Linked DNA regions of Styela clava. The protein of the gene in region 1 interacts with the protein of each later gene in a pairwise test. Links are inferred from orthologs where the notes say so. Each region holds a gene or a part of one and is shown on either strand. Other genes may lie near its edges.

Region 1 (7,817 bases):
CGTAAAACACTTTTAATTATTTAAATTCTTCATATATCACAATTCATAAATAACATTTTTTACCATATTAAATTCCTCTTCCAATTCCTGATTCTTTTTTCTGAGATCTCCCAACTCTTCTCTCATTTCTAATAACTGTGTATCAGTTTCTTGCTGTTGAAACAAGGTCATTTTGACAATCACAAATAGACAACGATTATTTACCAACATGATGTAGCTTTAGTATTTAGATTCTGGTTAGTAAGATTTTACCCAATCAAATGAATGGCAACAATTCAACAAAGCATTGATCTCAAATCCACAGCTTTACACATTATCAGAGTTTAGATGAATGATCAAGAGTATTTCTTTTCCCATGCTATGTCAGAAAATTTCGAAAGGGCTACAGACTTTACAGCTAGATTTTGCGTCGCAGCGGTGGTCACTCTGAGGGATCAGTGACTGCATGGTCTCACATGCTAGTTGGCTTCACTCTGGTTTATTTTTGTCACTTCTATTATATAAAATGCCACTATCTAGAGATGTTTATAAACAAATTACTCCATACCGGACAAAATATTCTGAGGCCTGGACATGCAATTTTAGATGAAGAATCTAATTCAAAAATGCCAAGGCTTTTGTATTTTTGTGAAAAAAGGACACAGAACACTAAAATTGACACAGTTTAGTGTGCGAACAATTATAACAAAATACCAATAATTTATAGAATATTATCTACAATGCAAGATTTCTAAGCGTAATAATTATTCAATTCGTCAATTCATTATTATTCAGTAACTGCCTCCCAAATCCTGTGCATATCGACACAGGAGAATTAAATTAGCACATTTTTAGATTTTAAGAAGATAGATTTTATTGTCATTTTTAGATCTGTAGAGCCAAACCTATGATTGGATAAAAGGCACTACTATCTAAAATCAAAACTAAAACTGATACAGCTTTGAAACCCAGACCATTAGATGGCTGGGAAATAATGACAGAAGATAAAAAAAAATTCATTTCTGAGAAATGAGACATAAGCTAGATTGGTTTTAATGTGGCGATATATTCATTCACACATCCATTCAGCCAACATATTCCTATTCCTTCGAATAAATTTTTGTTTAATTGTATGAAACAACTCAACAATGTCAAATGTACAAAGGTTGAAAATATAAACAAAACAAAGGATTTTCAAGACTATACTTATAGCAAACCTTCAGTTTTCGTTTTTCAGCCTGGTATGTGGCAACTATCTTTGATTTCTCCTCAGTGACAGTAGACAATGACATTGTTAGTGTTGCAATTTGATGTTGCAAATTTTTCAATTCTTCAACTGTTGAATCATTTTCACCTTCAGCCTCATCTTGGTGTGACACATCAGATGCAGAATTTTCCTTCTCTAAAGGTATACAGTTTTGAATCAAATTGATATGAATTTATTTTCAACTTCAATGATATGAATTAAATCTGAAACATAATATTATACAGCCATTCTATATGAACCCCATAAATCATAGAAGATAAACTAGTTCAGATATGTATCAGAAAATTTATCACATAATAGCCTACAATAGTATGCAAATTATATCCCATTCGTTTAATAGTTCAAATGATACCTAATAAGTTAATTGTTCCAGGATATAGATAGGTGCATACAAAACAAAACATGTACAAAGTGTGAGTCCCAACCAACAAAAGTTACAAAAAACCATGTCACATAGATAATTAAAAGTAAAACGAACTAAATATTCACACAACAATCACCAAACCTTTCTCTTCTGGAACATCATCATCTTTCTCCGTGGCATCGTGTTTGGCGCTTGATTGATCATCAACATCAAGTGAATTTTGTCCTGTTGGCCCCACCAACTAAGGTTCAATTATAGTTTGAAATTTTTTTCATTCTAGTTTTATTGATATGTACCCTTTTGGAACTTTTAAAGCCGGTGTATAATCTTTTTTTTTGTTCTTTTTTCTACGACCTTTTTTTCTCCATATGCACACATAATTTCAGTGATAACACATTACTTTAAGCAAAATTTTTGGAGCAAACGAACTACATCAAATTTTATTAGTCTAAGACTCGTATGTAACAGCATACTGTTCATTGGCCAATATGCAACTTCGATTATATCCAAAATTTAACCCTTGAAACCAGCTTGGGTAAGGTCACTGATAGGTATTCTAAACTCATCAAGTGAAATTGCAGAATTCTTCCCCAAGGAAATAGAGGCCAAAATTTCATTTCATTATTTATTCAATTTAAATCTTAATAACATTTTCATCATATGTTACCTTTGATGCCATTTATCATGATCATTACTATTACTGACCCACTGAAATATTGTAGCCTATTTATTGAATGGCCATAACATATATCATTATCAAACAATAAACCATCAGCTAATTGATTCATTAAGTGAAAAATATAAAAAAATATACACTTGTATTTTACTATTTGAGCTAGCAAATAATTGATTGTTAAACATTTGCTACATACCAACGGTTTGGATCCTAGACTAGGCTTTGACTTTCTTCCAAGACTAGGACTCGCATGACATGATGACAATGCTTTGACACTTGCTTCTAACGCTTCCTTTTCATTTTGCAGACTTTTGTAAGCAGAAACCAAATCTAAAATAAAAATAATTAATTTTATTTGTGCAATTTGATATTGCTCATAGCTGTAGCGACAACATACACTTACAGACTTAGGTAAATAAAGAATAGGTTAAAAAAACTCAGATATGATTAATATAGAGTTTCAGGCTAAGATACCATATTTCCAAATATCTGTATATTATGGTATTCCAGCATTCATATCAGCATATAGCATTTTAATCTTCTTCTATGTAGAACTGCTTAAAGAAAGGAAATCATTGAATATATACAACAAACCTCGCAAGCGACTCTCATAACGACCAAGTTGTGCTTTCTGTTTTTCTATTGTATCCAACAACTCAGCGTTTTTATTAAATTTAAACATCTTCAGAACTTGCTTCTGAAATTTGTTTCAATAATGTTACAGTAACAGATGGTTTATTTTTTGTCACTAGAAATATAAAATCATATTGATTAAGAAATAGACTAAATGACCACATAATTTTGGGATGGACTAAGGGTTGGCGATACGACCAAAGACAGATAGTCTAGGACCCTAGGTAATCAGCCAGCGACCACAAAATTATGGTCGTATCGCTCCCTCCAGTCTAGGGGTCTCAAACTTGTGGCCCGCGAGATGATATTTTGTGGCCCCTGCCTTGGTAAAATAGTTTAATGTTAGTGCGGCCGCAAGTCACTTAGCTCAGCATGATTAATGCTTTCATTATAACAGCGTTTCCCAAACTGTGTTCCGCGGAACACTAATGTTACGCGAACATCTCCCGAGTGTTGCGTGGAAAAAGGATAAAAAATACATCTAAATTGGTCGCCATGGCGATGTGAGAATCATGAAGTTGTTGCCAAACTGACCGTTTAAGATCGCGTCACCGTCGACCTAAAGTGGACTAACTAAGTTAGGGTGGTGGCATTTTTGTTAACCGTCGGTTTATCTTTTTGACTGTCAATTTCATTATCAAGTTTACAGTACTTCTTTTGGTTTTGTTGAAGACAAACAAGTAAGTCTAAAGAATAAAGGCAGAAGGTCAACCGTTCTTCCTCCATCTCTACCAGGTTTTACTTTCAAATGCTGAAAGTTTGTCAATCAATTTCACCCTTTCATTTTTTGGTGTTCCGCGAGGCGATATAAAAAGTGTAAGTGTTCCGTGGCCGAAAAGGGAAACTCTCACGTAGGGCAAAACGAAATATTTTATCATCTATCCCCTGAAAGGAATATGTGGTGCGGTAACCTACCAGTACCATACCTGTAGGCCTGATATTCGATCGCGGGAGTCGGGACCGTCTGAAATAATTTAAAAACAGTGTTTCATGATTTTAGACGTCACAATCACTATCTTGATACATTGTAACCATGTTTCCCATGTGGCGAAACATCACTGTCCAGCGGCTGAATGCTTGATTGAAACAAGATGGAATTTTATAATTTTGCACATCCTCAAACGTGTCGTTGGAAGTGAAGTTTCAGTAAACAGAAAGGTTGGTGATGAGACAATTTCAAATAACTAGGAAATGCAATATTTCTTTGTTGAGCATAGGAGCATCCCGACATGTTTTATCTGCACAGTTAAAGTTGCAGTGCACAAGGAATACAATTTAAACGAGTTGCTAAGCTTCTATTGTAAAAAACCTGATGCGGCCCGGATTCATCCAGACTCTGCCCCAGCGGCCCCCCAAGTAAATTGAGTTTGAGACCCCTGCTCCAGTCTATACCGAATTGAATATGTGTATAGTGTATATATTTTTTCGTATACCATTGTTTGTTTTCTGGTTGACAAAACAATAAATCTCTCTCTCTCTCTTCTAGCCTATAAGTCAACAGTCTAACTTCGCTAACGTTACTCCAATTTCGTCTGTAGGTGTAGACTGTATTTGTATTCGTCTATAACATGAGCAAAATAAGCCACTTACACAAATAAAAATGCTTTCTAGAGAATATTTATGTATTTTTCTCAACATTTTAACCCTAAAAATATCAAAATCACATTTCTATAAACCTAAAACACCGCCGTAGAAAATGCGAAAAGACAGACAGCTCACCAGGACTCTCTGTAGTCTGCTAGACGAGTTGTCCTTGTAGTCGAGTTGCTGTGCAGAATCCGGTCGCCGGATTGAAATCCGGCCGGATTTCATGATTTTTTTTTTTCGCTACCGGATTGAATCCGGATTCCAAAATCGGACACTGCGCCGGATTTATCCGGATTTTGAAAGAAATCGATTTAATTTGTATATGTTTTTCAATTTTGACTGAAGATATAAACTTTCAGTCTATCCGTCCTACTCTTTGCCGTCACCACACGTTTCTAATTTTGGGCATTGCAGGAAGGCTTCGCTAGTTTGCTACCCTTGAGTGGCGAAGGATTCGTCATGGTTTGCTATATCTCGAAGCAAAGGAACAAGCTTCGGTCTTGTGTTTTGGTATAATTTTTGAAGGATTTTATTATCATGAACAACTAAAGAGTCCGTTCGGTTAGGAATTTACCAGTTGTTGTTTTCAAATTCATTTCGGAATTCAAATATGTGAGTATTATTTGAATGATTGTTTTGAGAATCCTTTTCGAATTCAGCACTTTTTAGCTTTTGCACTTGCTGAATTTTGAACTTGTAGTTTCAGAGTTTATTCTGTAAGTTGTTCTTGAAGGTGGGTACCGTTAGTCCTTTTGGATTTGTGTTAAGGTGGTGAGTATTAAATGTCATGCCTGATTTGACTTAGTAGTGTAGAATTGTCCACTATCTGACTATGCACTACCCGACTACAGTTCATTTGGGATAATCCAAATTGATCAATCAACAGCAAATCCACAATGTCAGAATATACAGCTGTACAGACAGACAGATGCAAGCCATAATTTGCTTTATTTAATTTTACATATTTCATGATTTAACTGAAAATGCTGAAATGTGGTCTACTCTATATCATGTAGGTACACAAATAATGAACCTTAATATTCTTGTAATCAGTTTTGGTAGCATGGGTAATAGCATATTACAGTATTATCAGAGCAATGATAGAGATATGTTGGTTTCCATATTGCGAGTGATTTCCAATCGTATCACAGACAACGCGACTGGAGTCTGATAGCGTTTTAGGAATATTTTATATATTATTGCATTACTATTTGTTACTCCCCAGAATACTTCTTACCTTCCATGTAACTAAATATGGCAGGTTAACATGATTTAATCGTTATAGAAGAAATATTACTTTCATCTGCACTACATTTCTTGACCATCAATCCCAGGATTGCTTTATATCAAGCCACAGAAGCATGTGTGTCGTTCCCGATATCACATTTTCACCTGATTTTCTTTGTTACACAGAGTTTAAACTTGATATTGTGCGTATAAATAGAATATGCAGAATGTTATGATTCACTGAGGAATTTGCTGAGGTTTGTAAATCTTTACCCGAAATAAAGGAATTTTTCGGAATATTTTTCCAAGGAATCCGGATTCGGATGAATTCTGAAATAACAGAAATATTTTCGGACGGATTCGGATTCTGTTTTTAGCGAATCCGCACACCATTAGCACTCATAGCCTCATCCTACAGTCCTAGAAAAGCACTCTGTAAAGTTTACTGCCAGAGAGACAATAGTTCACTAGACGTCGTTGTTTTCACCTCACCTGTACCGGTATGGTATACATGGGATTTGCTGTATACTACATATGTTATCAACGACCAGCTGTCGAGTGGCATTATAAACATCAAAGACAGCAACCTATAGAGTAGACCGTAGACCTTTGACGCCCGAAAAATTCTTCCTATGCTTTAGCACAGCGTTCCCAACCTTTTTTGGTCGCGGAATATTTCCTCACCGGCGAAAACCATTGCGGAATCAATGTGCGTTTATTGCAACCGTACTCTGTGTGAAAAAGCAATAAAACCAAACACAACAGAATTTTAACAAATTTCAAAATCGGCAATTCGCCGCAATTACGCGTTCGGTAAATGAGCCGAATTTTTTAGTGAATAATGGTATTTTCTGTCGCACAATATTCAATCCATGACAACGACGAGAATTTAAAATGTCCTTCTATTTTAATTCAATTTTGTTCATGTTAACTCGCGGTTGCGTCGACTCACGTACGACAAGATGAAAGCATTACTTCTTTAAAATTGCACGTCAATCTGCGACTATAATAATGTGAGAATATATTGCCCGATTTTATTTAGTTTGGATACATATTTTTTGCGATCTTGCGAATTTGTTATCGCCGTTAGAAAAATCCTACTATCTGCTATAAATTTCCAGAAAGTACAACTTGATTTAGCACTTAATAAAAATATATTTAAAGTATATCAGTGAATCAAATATTCATCGCGTTGCTTTATTATTAATTTAATTGCGATCATTTTAATCTGCGGGTGTAGAAACTCAGAAAATATCATGACAATGCGTGGACACAAAAATGCGTGGTAAAGTGCCTGATTATATTTTGTTTTGATTCGTATTTTTGTGAATTCGACAAATCTGAGCTGTTCGTACAACACTGGTACGTTACTACGGTAGCACCCGAAATTTTGCGATTCGTAACGTCTAAAAGGGCGTATTTAATCGGTCGCCGTCCATCATAAGACAAAACTTGAGTTGTGCTCCGTTTTATTTTTAGTATTGCCGCTTTTCAATTTAGAAAATTTGGGTTGCCACCATCGACACTTAGCATCAAAAAAAAATTTATTCCTCGTTGTTCGAACTCGCGAAACACCATTTAGGTATCTATCGAATCGTGTGCATAATCGTGTTTTCGTCGGAAATCCGCAAGTGAGTCGTGAAATCCGATCGTTCAATTAAGCGACGCGCAAGTGGCCCGTCGCGTCACCTGTTACCAAATTTTCAAATGGCAAATTTTTATTTTAATAGTTGAATTTTCGACCATATGACCTGCTCTACTCAGTAACCAGTTTTATTGACTTGATTAATGTTATGTGAATGGACTTGCTTTTTATGTTTTATGTAAATTCTAACGTAAATCATAACTTGCTGATAGTTGAGTTTCGCAAAAGCGTTTGCGGCACGCAGTGAATTTCTGGCTGGTTGCGGACTCATTCAAGCGCTCCACGGACTCATTTAAGAGCGCGGACTCGGGTTGGGAAACACTGCTTCAGCATTAACAACTTTCAAACAAACCATCGGAGCGTGACGGCTGCTGCCAGACACTATTTTTACCTTACTTTGAGGGGACGCGGCAATTTTGCTTTTCATTCGCGAGTTTGA
Region 2 (6,996 bases), on another chromosome or scaffold:
ACCACGGCGCCATTCGCCATGGTTTTATGGCGCTATTTCCGGTAAATTTACAAGGTTATGTACCGGATTATAGGTCATCATGCGAAATTTTATCTACCTTTTTGGTGCTTTAGAGCATAGGTTCTCAAAGTGCTCCGTACGGAGCCCCAGGGCTCCGCGAGAGTAACCCAGGGGCTCCGCGAGCTATTCGATTACTTTTCAAAATACTGACTTGGCTAATTTAAAACTGTTCCTAGAAGCAATAACAGCTTTGATGAAATTTGACAACAACATAGCCTCGAAATATGGCAAAGGGGCGGAATTAAGAAATGACATTATTTTTATAGGCAGGAGCGCAGCCAGGATTCTTAAGAGGGAAGAGGTTCAAAATTGGAATCGGAAATTTACGCGCAACATTCTTGGCAATTAAAAAAAACGGATAACGAGATTTCTGTTGCCTAAAATATTCAATTCATGACCGATGCGAGCATCTAAATTCTAAAGTGTCTTGTCGTAATAATTTAATTGTGCTCATCGTTACTCACGTTCGATTCGAAATTACTATTAGGATTACTAAAATGATAAAATACTATTCTAAAATAATATAAACTGCGTGATAAACTGCTAACTATAAATAAATTGGAGTCGTATTTTTGTGATCTTGGGATTTGTTAAACTTGATTTGTTCTTTCGCACTCGAGATTATTTTCAAGCAAGATGTCGCCGTTTGAAAAATCACAAGGTCTTGGCAAAATACGAACGATTGAAATTTATTTTAGTGCATGCGGCTCTGTCGGTAGTTTCAGAAAGGAAAAATGGTACACCAGGCGCATAATTAATTGACTGTGTTTCAATTTCGCAGTTACTACGATGAATAACCGAAAACCTAACATAACACCAAATTTATGATTTACGATGTCTATAACAGCGTTTTTATTCTGACGTGAGTCTGCTGAAACAAAAACTTATGGTGTTATCTTCCATTTTAAGTTTTAGTTCTAATATTTTAGAATGCCGCTTTTTAATCAAGAAATTTGAATTGCGGATTTACCTCTTTATTAACTATTATTTTTAGCATTTCGTCGCCGATGATTATAATATGGTAACATGTTTTTCACATTGAACTCATAATTCCCCACGAGATTTATTTATGACTTCTATTGACCCTAATAAAAGTGTTTAGTATTTAAATTGAGTAAAAGTACGTTTAACTTACTCAGGAATATTATTCGGAAAGTAACAATTTTAACATTTATTATGGGGCTCCGTGAATAATAGTCAACCTTTTTAAGGGCTCCGCAACACCAAAAGTTTGAGAACCCCTGCTCTAGAGCATAGGTTCTCAAAGTGCTCCGTACGGAGCCCCAGGGCTCCGCGAGAGAAACCCAGGGGCTCCGCGAGCTATTCGATTACTTTTCAAAATAATGACTAGTTTTGTAACTGTTCAAAGAAGCAATAACAGCTTTGATAAAATTTGACAACAATATAGCCTCGAAATATGGCAAAGAGGCGGAATTAAAAAATGACATTATTTATAAGCTGGAGCGCAGCCAGGATTCTCAAGAGGTGGGGATTTGAATCGGAAATTTCCGCGCACCATTCTTTGCGATTATAAAAAATGGATAACGAGATTTGTGTTGCGTAAAATATTCAATGTATGGCCGATGCGAGCATTTAAAGTGTCTTGTCGTAATAATTCAATTGTACTCATAGTTACACAAGTTTCATTCGAGATTACTATTAGGATTACTAAAATGAAAGAATACTATTCTAAAATAACATAAAATACGTGATAAACTGCCAACTATAAATAAATTGGAGTCGTATTTTTGCGATCTTGGAATTTGTCAAACTTGATTTGTTCTTTTGCACTCGAGATTATTATTAAGCAAGATATCGCCGTTTAAAAAATCACAAGATCTGGGCAAAATACGATTGAAATTTATTTTGCATGCGGCTCCGTCGGTAGTTTCAGAATAAAAAAAGGTAAATCGCGCACACAATTGACTGTGTTTCGATTTCGCAGGTACTATATATACGATGAATAACCAAAGAAAACCCAACATAACACCAAATTTTGTGATTTACAATGCCTATAAGAGCGTTTTTAATCTGACGTGAGTCTGCTAAAACCAAACTTATAGTGTGATCTTTTATTTTAAGTTTTAATATTTTAGAATGCCGTTTTTCAATCAAGAAATTTGAGTTGCGGATTTACCTCTTTATTCTTAATTATTATTTTTAGCATTTCGTCGCCGATGACTATATGGTAACAAATTTTTCACATTGAACTCATAATTCCCCACGAGGACAAAAAAGCAATTATCGTCGTCATTGTGAAACAAAACATGTATATGCCGAAGAAAATTTTTGATTTAGGGAGAATGAACACCGGCGTAAAGATGTTTAAAAACATGCCATGCTGACGAAAACTATCGGTGATTGTAACAAAATGCAATCGCGCACGCTAATAGCGGCCTTTTGAGTCTTCCGAAAATTTCAAAAGGGAAAAGATTCGACCCCTAGTTTATCAATATGTTTGTCAAGTGTCAAATTTACAGCTTTAGTAAGAGTATATATAATTTATCTTTAAAATTTTGATTTATTTATGACTTGCATTAACCCCATTAAAAAAAAGGTTTAGCATTTAAATTAAGTTAAGTACTTTTAACTTACTCAGGAATATTTATCGGAAAGCTACAATTTTGACATTTCTTTTGGGGCTCCGCGAATAATAATCAACCTTTTCAGGGGCTCCGCAACACTAAAAGTTTGAGAACCCCTGCTCTAGAGTCTAGAAGTATGTGCAGCAATATGTCGCACAACCTGAACCCGCTACACACACACACACACTATTTTCAGGTTGTGCGCCATCTTGGTGCACATACTTCTGGAGGCCCCTTTCTACCTAACCCTAAAGCCAACCATATCCATATGGAAAATGTTCTAAATTATGGTACCCAAAATGTGTCACCAGCAGGGGCGGACCTGCCATTACAGCATTACTGGCTACATACGTTGGTTTGTGTTTTTAATTTGCTGCCGTGGTACTCCAACTCAAAACAAGGTGCCCCGAACTCATTGCAAAATTTTTTTCTGCTTCACACTGTTTCCCTCTGTTTTGCGCTCTTTCGCTCCTGTTTTGCGCTGTTCCCCCACTGTTTTGCGATGTTTCCCTCTGTTTTGCGCTCTTTGCGGTGTTTCGCGCTGTATTCAGTAAGTAGTAAGACCGCTACCAGTAGCCGTATCGGAGAACTAACAACTCGACTACACGGCTAAATAACCAGAGACAACTCGATTGCCAGGGATAGAAGTAACGGTACGAGGACTGTCGTAGCTTTTCCAGATCATGTGGCGATGATGCATCCTTCATGATTCTGTTCCAGCGTGAATTGAAATACTTGAATCAAGTCACGCCTGTATTACCAGATCAGGTACTGCAGTCTCGCGTTTTTCATAAAAAACTTTTGCACGCGGTCCATCGACGTTCGCAGAGCACGAGATCCGCCGATATGCTTTTACGGAACCACCACAAGGTGGCAAATTTTAATTTAGGGGAACAGACACTATTCAATCTTGAACATTATGTAGACTTTTAATTGACGTTCATGCTATTTTGCACTGGTTTAATCTCAGTTCATATTCTACCGCAAAGAATTCTACATTAAAACAAAACTTTTTGGCATTCACATTTTCAACTCCACAACTGAAAATCAATAACAAAGATTCAAGTTGCCAGAAGTATAAAAGATTTTCAACAGTGTTTCATTACTACAAATTACATGTATATCATCCAACTCCATAAATATATTATTCAGTAGTATGTCAGTCATAAATTACAGTAAACACTCATATTTAAATTTTATATCTAATATCTAATACTAGAGGATTTTATTCGGAGCAATCGCTTTCAAATATCTGGCAACGCAAAGTCCAACATCTGTGTAGTTTGTGCAGTCATCAATAATGAAACGATTTATCGTAAGATATTGGTAAAACATGTCACGTATTATCAGTGGCGCTGCTTTACCTGTTTGTGTGCGCCGATAAAACTTATTAATTCTTTAAAATAAAGAATAATCGTGCATGAGGGCGGCACAAAGACTTAGTTTAGGCTGTTGTGGACCGACTTTTTCGATGGCAGACGTGCAGCAGCAACCGAATGGGTCCCCGTCTAGAGGGGAAACGATATGGTCTTATCAATTTCGGATTGTATTGATTGGAGACTCTACTGTAGGAAAATCAGCGCTGTTAAGGAGATTTAGCGATGGAGATTTTTTAGAGGTAAATTGATTGTGTATAAAGGTCCCCAATTTGAATAATACTTTGATGCGAAAATTCGCATTGGTGTGTTGTTTGGTACCACATGCAGACATGCACTTCTAGTTGGCCTGGCTCAACAATTTTTGCATATGTCCATCCTAACCCCCACTTGACTTCGTCACCGAAAAATTACGTCTTTTCGACGTCACAGTGGCGTAATGTTGCCTACCAAAGAATGCGAATGGTCGTCAAAAATGCGCAGATGATCACCCGAAATGGAGCAAGCTATTCTCTCGTTTTCTCCTCACAACGATCACGATAGGCAATAGGAGAGAGATCGCCGAGTTCGTTATCGAACTTTAGCGAGTTCGTTATCGGCAGCGCAGATATCATTTTGGGCGATCGTAATTGTCTTTGGCAAGTCATATGACGTGATGATGACGTCGTAGTGAGTGACATAACTTTTGGATGGAATAGTCAGGTGGGGGTTAAGAATAACATATGCCAAATTTGTTATGCTACGCCCACTGGAAGTACTTGTGCTACTAAACTATACTAGACCCCGAAAATTTGCATGGGTGCGTTGTTTTCAATTTTTTCGCACTCTAAAAACGATTGTGGCTGAACAGGAGAATCCACTGATAACAGTACTATAATATTGTACCGTAAAGCTGTATGCTATTAAACCCCCTTTATACGTTTTTGCCTGTCATTGTTTTCGTGTTGTTTCATAGAGAAAGGGGCAAATTGAAATTGGTTTAAAAATAAAAGTTGTAGAATATTGATTGGAATGATGTAGGTTAGCATTGAATACGTGAGAAAGTGACCATTTTTTGATTCATATAGGACAGGGGTGGGCAACTTTTCTAGTCGGCGGGCCAGATGTGGGAAAAAGAAGTCCACGTTGGGCCGTATTTTTACATGAATAGTATTCAATATTTTAATCATATATTTATTCGCTATTGCAAGAGAGAAATTTATAAATCAGGTTTAAAGTTTAAACTTCACGAAAAAATAGAGACCAAAAAACACATAATGAATTTATCATAATCTACTAAAAGTGTAATATCATAATGTACTGATGTACAGTCAGCGGGCCGGTCAAAATCTCGTCGCTGATTGGACCCAGCCCGCGAGCCGTATGTTGCCCACCCCTGATATAGGCTATGATATTTGTAATTTAAATTCTTAGATCTCCGACCCCACTGTGGGTGTCGACTTCTACGCCAGATTGATTGAAATTGCTCCTTCAATAAGGATTAAATTACAGTTATGGGACACTGCTGGACAAGAAAGATTCAGGTAATGTTGAATAATACAGTAGTAAGTAGGGGAAAGTGGAGAGGTATGGGCCACCTTGAGGTATGGGCCATTGGAAGTTCAACAGCTTTATAATATCCCAATCACCTGTAACTTGGTGTGATTATTGCATAGGTCCCACCAAATAACACATGTTATTTGCAGGTCAGCAGCTTACAAGGTGTCTCAGCTATGAGGTACTAAGTGATTTCTCGTAGAAAAGCTTTTTTTTTGAAAAATTAGAATAATTGGGATAGCACGATCAGTTGTGGTTCTTTAATAAAATCTGTCAAAGGCCTAGGAACCTGTGTCTTGGTCCTGTTAAAGAAAGTGTTGGATGAAACAGCTCATCTTTTTTTGTAATCAAATTTTGTCTGAAAACATGGCGGGAAGGGTGCCTGAGGTATGGGCCATTTTGGATGCTTAGGTATGGGCCTGCCATACCATGTCGGTAGTCGTGTTAATCAATATAAACGATGATAGTGACCTAGGGAAATGTAGTATCTAATGAGAATGTCTTTAGTTTTCGCCATTCTTTCGTGTTTCTGCAATGCAATGTATATCTTCTGCCAAATCAGATGACCTGCCTGGATCATCACGAATGGTCGTTTCCCCAGAAATTATACGTCATTGCCAAAAGCCCCCGTCCAAAAGTACAACTCTCGCAAAAGCAGATAGAAAAGATTTTAATTAAGAAGAAGCAATTAAGAAAAAAAGTAAAGCAAGGTAAAAAAGCGGGAAGACAGGAATAATCATATAATTCGTTAACAGTGATTTAACAGTAGCATTGTTAGACAGCTCGGAAAGTGACATCTTTGAAATAGATTTGGATAATGTTGTCTGCTGTTTTAAAGATCCAGCACTCACTAGAGACAGAGCAGTGACATACAAATTTATGGGGACTGTGAATGCAAATGAGACAAAGCTGTGCTGCAAATTTCCAGGATATATATGAATACTGGCTATTCTATGATTGGTGATAATTTTGTTGCATATTACCAATGTTTTATTTAAAAAACAGCTTTATTGATTGTAGAAACTATGTTTACTTATGGGGTTTGGGATTGAGTAAAGTTGTATTTCACAATAAGCACTGGGTTTTAGTTTTTTGATGGTGGCCCATACTTGACACTGCCTGGCCCATACCTCAAATGATAAAAAAATTTTGTGTAAATTATATTTTTGTGGAAAAATACATTTTTTTCCAAAACTACTTTTGAAAACTCCAAAACAATGCTGGGAATAGTTAGCTGTTTTGTTAAACATTCAGTGGGTAAAAGAGTGAATATTTAGTTCAAAGGGCCAAAGCGTTGTAGCCCTCCAAAGTTTGGTGGCCCATACCTCTCCACTTTCCCCTACATATTTGAAGCCTGTCATGATTTTTTTATCCAGCAAACTTCTTGCAGGGTGATCAGAGTTGCGGTGGGGAACGTATTCCTAACACTCATCATGATG
Region 3 (7,221 bases), on another chromosome or scaffold:
GAGCAATAAGCATATGCTGCCACAATGTATTGACGTTCTTTGTTGCATGTGCATGAGACGGTTTTCACAGACTTTTGAATTATTCATAGCAAGTCCGTCTGGTAGGAATTTCTAGGCTATTAAGTTGACTGTGCATTCGTTCAATTACCGAGTCTAAAAACGCCCAGACAGATATCGAAATATTGAACATGACCTACGAACGTCTAGTCTATCTTTTCCTCTGGGAAGACAAAACGTCGAAAATACAATAAAGTCAATTTCCAGTTATTTGATTACATATTATCAGGCTCCATATTAAAACAAAAACACTCCATTTTTACTAACAGTATTTTCACCATTAGACTTCATTTTACCAAAGTTGAGAATAACCAAAACACAAACAATGTCAATTTATAAAAGGTAGGCAGAATTTTGTTCTTGTAATATTTGTCAAGAATGAGTAACACCGAGATATCACTGTATACGAATTCCTTTTCTTTCACAAATGTGATTATTACTGATATGGCAAGCTAAAATTTGTAACGAAGAAAATTCAAACCAACTACCAAACAACTTTTCAAAATAGGCATCTCTATTACATGGTTGGATTGGTTAGAGAAAATTTCTAATATTTATTTTAGGTATAGAGATAAGACTCATTTTAGGTATGTCTTTCATATGACCTGGAGAAAATCTAAAGTCACTAACAGGATTTTAGATATTATAACGGATGACAGTTGCTAGCTGTTCTGAGTTTGTATTGAAAACCACATTCCTAAAATTTGTGTATTTTTATATATCTATATCTTCTATATATACCAATCAATAAACACTTTGGTAATGTTACTTAGACGTAAAGCAACATCTTTCCTATACAAAAAATCTACCAGTTCAGGAAGACTGATGTGATTGATGGCACCATGTCTAGACTTGTATGTTTGAGTAAGATTTGAATCACCCTCATCCTTATTGCACAATAGGTATAATTTTTTTGTATGGCCGTTGATATTTATAACCTAATGTTATTCTGTGTAACAGCATGCTATATCTAAACAATTTGAGAACTTTAAATAGGCTGATTCTCCTTTTTTAATCTTCATTGGAATTATTTCAACAAAAAAGACCCTTCAATAAAAATATTTTGCCTAATTTACGATTCTAAATGCTGAATGTAGGTTCTTACCGTTCGGTCTTCCAAATACATTGTTTTTGAAAGAAAATCAATTCCTATTGTGGCCTGCAACAAAATAAGTTTTGAATTCAGACAAAAGTCAGAAGTGAAAGTGGTAAAAAAGACTACTGCGATCTCTACATAAAAATTGATTTTATTCAAGACAGCGGTCTTAGTGCCTAACATACATGCAAATCAGACAAAACAAAGATACAACGTGTATGAGCCAAACATTACAGGGAATTCCATTTTCATGTGACGGTTTGTTTTACTCGCTTTAGATTCCCATGGGTGAATTATGATTTAGACTTTGATGATCTACAATTATCCAGTATTAAAAAACAACACAGTTGTACAAAACATCTTTATTTAATTTATCAAGATAAAACTTGAGGAAGCCAAAAATTGAACCTATTTGAAGACAGACGTATAAAAAATTATGCCATGTCCAAAGCCTGCTACATTTTTTAATTTGTAGGCCAGTTGAAATACTGATCAATTTTTTGCGATTCTAGCAAATCAGATAGAAAGATGATGGGAGAGTGGGCCATACAGTATTGTTCTCATGCATGAAGCTAACAAATATTGTACCTTAGACTTGGTCAAGCAATGATGCCCATGAAAGCGTTAAAATAAAACACGAAAAGCAGCATAAGTTAACAGAAAAGAGTAACTAAATTGATATTGAAAATAAAATTTTAGCACTGTAGTGTTAACACACTAAGACCGCAAACAAATCAAGATTTACCACTATTTATCAGTTATTGGAGTAATGAGCAAAATCTTATTAGACTCCAGAAAGCAATCTGACAAAAAATATTGTTTGAAAATTCATAAAATATAATAATATTATTCACAATATGCTACAATTTCCAGAACCAATGGTGCTAGAAGATTTTCAGGCCTGATTATCATCATTTTATATTCAAGTTATTGTCAACTCCTTATGTGTAACGAAAATAAATCACGTGCTCAATACATTTTTTAAAACTGAAAATCTATTCAATAGTGAAGAAGTTCATTGCGAAAGTGAAGAGAAATCGTGAAAAGAATTTCCCTACTCATCGCCAATCCTCGATTTTCCTCATGAATATAATAATTTTTTTAAGAGAAAGTAAATCTTAAAAATGATGAATTCTGAATATTCAACTTTTGACATCCAATACAATAGAAAATGCATCTACTATCTTTTCAAAACTTTTTTCATAGGTATATCCCGCCATTAATGAATACTTTTTATAATAAAAAACTATTCAACAATTCGTCGAGGCAAAAATTTGAGGCATCTACTGTTAGTTATGATTGTTAACGCCCAAGTTGACAGTAAATGTTCATCATACTATCACCAGACTCACCACCCAGCACCATTGGTCTCAATCAGCTGAGATTACATTTATAAGAATTACCGGTACAATTTTTTTTTACAACAATAATCACCTGATACGTGTTATCAAAACTGTCATACATAAATCTTGTAATAAGCGATGTTTTCCCCACTGTAAAATTAATAATATAAGATTAGTATGCAAAATAACATTATTTTGTCATAATCCTAGTAATAATCCAAAAGAACTACCTAGCTTTAATTTAAACTTTTGCATAAAAAATAAACACAAATAAAGTACATCAAAGATAAAGGATATGATGAAAAGTTGAAAAAAACTACAAATCTAATAAATGAGAAAAAACGGGATTTCATTTTTAAGCCATAAATAATGAATATTCTTATTTAGTAGTAACACATTAATTAGAGTGATTTTATGACATTTTAAAAATATTTTATAATGTGACAAAACTCTTATCAGAAATAACACACTCACCACTTTGTTCACCCAGGAACACTAACTTAAATTTCCGTAACGGATTCCCAAAATCGCTCGTCATTTTAATATTAAATAGATAATAAACTTTAATTATATTAATAAGACTCTGTCATACGAAGAATTTAAAAGAATTTTATCGTGAATTTATCGGTATAAACATTTGAAGGTAACTTATAATTGTGCTATAGAAAATTCTCAAGTTTATACTATATTAAATAGTATGGTAGATTATTTGGCTTTGGCATCTATTGATGAAACAAATTCATTGCCCATAAGTTGCAGAATAATAAGTGGTTACCGGTGATTAGAATGACAATGTTATACTGAAAGTTGCAACTAGTTTCTATCAAATTTGCTGAAAGAACAACAATCAAGACAGATAATAGATTTGTGTAGCAACACATTTTATGTAATTTATATATAAAAGAATGCTTAGTATGTTCGTGAAGATAAATAAGAAGAAAACTGACAAAAGTGAATCCCAAATTAACGCTTGTCAAAAGACAACTGACAAACTTTAAACTTGACCGATTCAAAATGATCTTATCTGGGAAAAAGTGTTGAGAAAACGTGTTACAGCAGGAGGAATCAATTTCCAGTTTAGATAGAATGGGTAACAACCTCATTCTCATAACATCCTAACCAAGACTGGCAATAAAACGAGAGTTGATCTGCCCTATGATACATTGTAATATCGCAGTATTGTACATCTTTCACCAATAAATATGAAAATCCTATCCCTTTAATTAAAAGAGATACAAGCAATTGAGTAGCTTCCCCAGATTCTTGAGAACTTTCCACTTGAGGTTGACAAAAAATGAAGACGAGAAATCATGAAACTCAACACCCATAGTACAGTACAGCAGTAGTAATACAGAGTTTACAGGTCTACGGTGGTACCGATAAGTTACGGTACGTGTAATGTGTAGTCATATACCCATTACCCAGGTACACATACAAACCATACCAGAGCACATGTTCCTACTATTGACTATATATCATATTTGGTCTCACAAATTATCAATTTACAACGAAATAATTATCAAAAAGCACATGATTCACGTTCGAACAAAGTACAAAATCTGAATTCCAATGCATCCGTAGCCGCGATTACGTCACCACCTGGCGTAATTTTTGCTGATGCGAAAAGATTATGATGGCCGTCTCTCAAGCGTGACTATTTTTTTCAAGATTTTTCATCAGAAGTCGCAAAAAATTGCATTGGGTCAGTCCTTCTTGGTGGGGAACACAATTTAAATACATTTGCAATGCCATTTAGAAGTTAAACGCCAACGCACGATACAAGCGCACTTTGGTAATCTAGCTAACTCCATCAGTGTTCAGAATACAGTGGCATTTATTCGTTTTGTTGGTCTTCCTCTGGGCTAAAACGATACTACTAGTTATTGTGTTAATTGCAATGCGTTATACCAATGATATTAAGCAACATGATGCGCAACTCCGGCATTTTTAGCCGAAGATTGTATCCGATAGCACGCTCCAATGCACATACTTGACGAGACGAAAACGAGCGGATGTGTGCTGCTTTCAAGGCATAGCACGAATGGTGTTCGTGCCTGCTTTGACAGTTGTTTAATGTCGTTGGTTATATAGATGCGAATTCCCGTCCAACTGGTTTTTATAAAAGAATAGGCAGTTCAATGAATAACTACGATTATATTTTCTCTGTAAAAATGTACATAAAAATTCTAAATGTCGCAAAACTAAACAAGCAACAGATTTATGCAGATAAATATACATTAAATTAAAACTATTAATTGCAAGTACAAATGTGTTGGATGCATAAAAAGTATGCTTTGGCATCTAATGAAGCGAAGTTGAATAAATTCTTATACAAAAACATTTGTTAAAAACTAGAATAAAGCAATAATATTGGAACTTCAATACGAAAATATAACAATATCAAGAGAAACGACAGCAATCTATTTTTACTTTGGAAAAGGCCGAGTTTTTGAATAAAGACCAAAATAATTCTTGAAAAGATTAATTACTGTAAAATTCTATAAATTTGATACGCTTTTACAAAATTGTTTGGTTCTCCCATCAACATTAAATATTGTCATGGAATTTGATTTACAACTACAGTGGTGTCTGTCTTGGACTATTGCATTTGTTCATGTTCAAGTATCATTATTTATTTTTAAAGTAGGGACGCACTAAAGCATAATGCAAGCAACAGATGAGATGCTATGAGTTAAGCAACAAACTAAAATATAGGAGCCTCAATTGTCGTTGCTATTGTGCAATTTTATAACAAAACTGATATAAAGAAAACCCAACGGATTTTTTAAAATCCAAAATGTTGTGAACAATGTAAGAATGTGTCACCAACTACATATCTTGTGAAACACAGTCATCAAGGCAAATATGGTTAGATGTGGCACCTCCTTCACCAAACTAACTCTTTTATTTATGAGACGATGAAACACTCAAAATGTAATGATCCTCCTACAGTTATACAGTAAATCAATTATTAATATTGAATATCAAATTGACAACAAACAAAATAGCCAACACCATTGTGATGTCACTCATTCAAAGCTGTAGTTCTCTTTAATTCCAAGTTCAGCCAACGTCATTCCTGTTGTTCCAAAATAAACTGCTTTTCCAACTTTTGACTGCAGAATCTCTCCCACATGAGCCCTGCGACTCGGCAGTAATGATCTGTGTAATATAATTACAGTTGAATACGGATGAAAAATAAGTGATTTGAGACATTATGGTATATTCAATATATATATTCAGTGACTGACAAAAAGTAACATCTTTGAAGTTACTGATTCTGGAAGCTTTCGATAAAATTAAATTGGTAAAGATAAAATGTGCGGTTATGAATGTAGAAACGTCCGTTTCCAAAGTATAATATGTTTATTCAGCCATATTTGTCTTTTCCTACACTTTAGGCTGCACTTCATATAATATACAAAAAAAATTTGGCAGTGAATACAATGAATAATAACAATCAAAGATGATGTTATCATTTCACATAATCATTACATACTTTCCAGTTGAAGGCTGGAGAACACTTGTGGATCGTGATGAAGCAGTCTTCTTCCTTGGCTTTCCTTTCGTTTTACCAAATTTGAGATGACTTGAAGTAGTTCTACCAGATTTAGATCTTGGCATGAACTCCGTGTTAGTGACTATGTTTTTGGGTAATATTTTCATGCTGTTGCTTGTTGGGTCATTTTCAATTGCTTCTTTCAAAGTGTGAATTGTAAAATAAGAAGCAATTTCATTTGCAGATGGGGAGGACTGTTCTCTCTTATCTGAAAATAAAAGGGTGTAATGTGAAGACTGGAAAAAAAATATATTAATCAGTTTTCAAACAAGTTAACGACTCGAGGGTGTGGCGCATCGTGCTAAGCGTTAGGCGTATCACCGCACCTCTGTTTACCCTGCATTGGTTCGAATCCCATGCGGGATGGTTATGTGCAAGAGGATTGCTGGATTTCTCGGCGCTGTATGGTTAAGCCGCCTTATCGCCTTTCTTCCTCGGGATAAATATGTATATCCTATCCTAAACAACAAATCTATCAAGGATCGAAACTATATTATTAAGAAAAAAATTGCAACATGTCACATACTTTTTATACGAAGACATTCAGCCTTGTGTCGTTCTTCCCAGGCTTTTAGTTTACAGGATCTACTGCAATAATAAACTTCACGACATCTAGAACATGTTGTCAAACGCACACCAACAGATCGACCACATTCATAACAATAACGAAAAAGGGGTTTTCTGAAAAGGATTGAAATTGAATCAAGCATTGAATTTTACAAATTGGGTAGAAAGGGTCTATTCTCCTATGCCAAATATAAATCAGCCAACATTGTCTTTGTCCAAATTTTTCAATTCCTTTTTTACTCATTGCAAAAAATGAAAAAGTATTTCTGAATTATTGTAGATTCATTTAGAACCTTGTTGTTTTGTCATAACATGGATTGTGGGGAATGAGTATAATCAACCAATACTCAATTTGCAAAGAATTGTTGAAATTTCTATTTTCAAAAGTATTATAAAAAGTATGTTGTTTATCCTACGGTAATTAATCAGATAAAATTATTTAAAAAAAAAGATCGTATCCGCCCAATTGAAGAGATGTCCAAATGCCTCATTCCTATATATTGTAAAGTTTCAAATTTTATTGCACTAATGATCAACTACAGCCTGCGAATCGAATGAAAAATGACAACAAAGAACAGAGATACAATCTCACCTAATCG

The links.
Region 2: the proteins of GRIP and coiled-coil domain-containing protein 1-like (region 1) and ras-related protein Rab-39B-like interact in a two-hybrid assay, tested with the Drosophila melanogaster proteins (2 studies listed by BioGRID). The link is inferred for Styela clava from reciprocal best matches to the Drosophila melanogaster genes GCC88 and Rab39.
Region 3: the proteins of GRIP and coiled-coil domain-containing protein 1-like (region 1) and ras-related protein Rab-6A-like interact in a two-hybrid assay, tested with the Drosophila melanogaster proteins (2 studies listed by BioGRID). The link is inferred for Styela clava from reciprocal best matches to the Drosophila melanogaster genes GCC88 and Rab6.

What each region holds. Positions count from the first base shown.
Region 1 is NC_135252.1:3,461,070-3,468,886, reverse strand, and holds the start of GRIP and coiled-coil domain-containing protein 1-like, read right to left. Parts: upstream 3,035-7,817; 5' UTR 2,969-3,034; coding exon 2,881-2,968; intron 2,617-2,880; coding exon 2,483-2,616; intron 1,852-2,482; coding exon 1,752-1,851; intron 1,382-1,751; coding exon 1,197-1,381; intron 154-1,196; coding exon 64-153; intron 1-63.
Region 2 is NC_135250.1:29,957,232-29,964,227, forward strand, and holds the start of ras-related protein Rab-39B-like, read left to right. Parts: upstream 1-3,881; 5' UTR 3,882-4,065; coding exon 4,066-4,263; intron 4,264-5,434; coding exon 5,435-5,544; intron 5,545-6,996.
Region 3 is NC_135256.1:11,596,985-11,604,205, forward strand, and holds the start of ras-related protein Rab-6A-like, read right to left. Parts: upstream 3,093-7,221; 5' UTR 3,035-3,092; coding exon 2,971-3,034; intron 2,647-2,970; coding exon 2,588-2,646; intron 1,217-2,587; coding exon 1,163-1,216; intron 1-1,162. Other genes in the region: ankyrin repeat and MYND domain-containing protein 1-like, read right to left, coding at 5,526-5,658, 5,996-6,263, 6,582-6,736, 7,215-7,221. UniProt on the Drosophila melanogaster protein: Protein transport. Regulator of membrane traffic from the Golgi apparatus towards the endoplasmic reticulum (ER). Mediates membrane trafficking during egg chamber growth and organization, possibly upstream of exocyst component Sec5.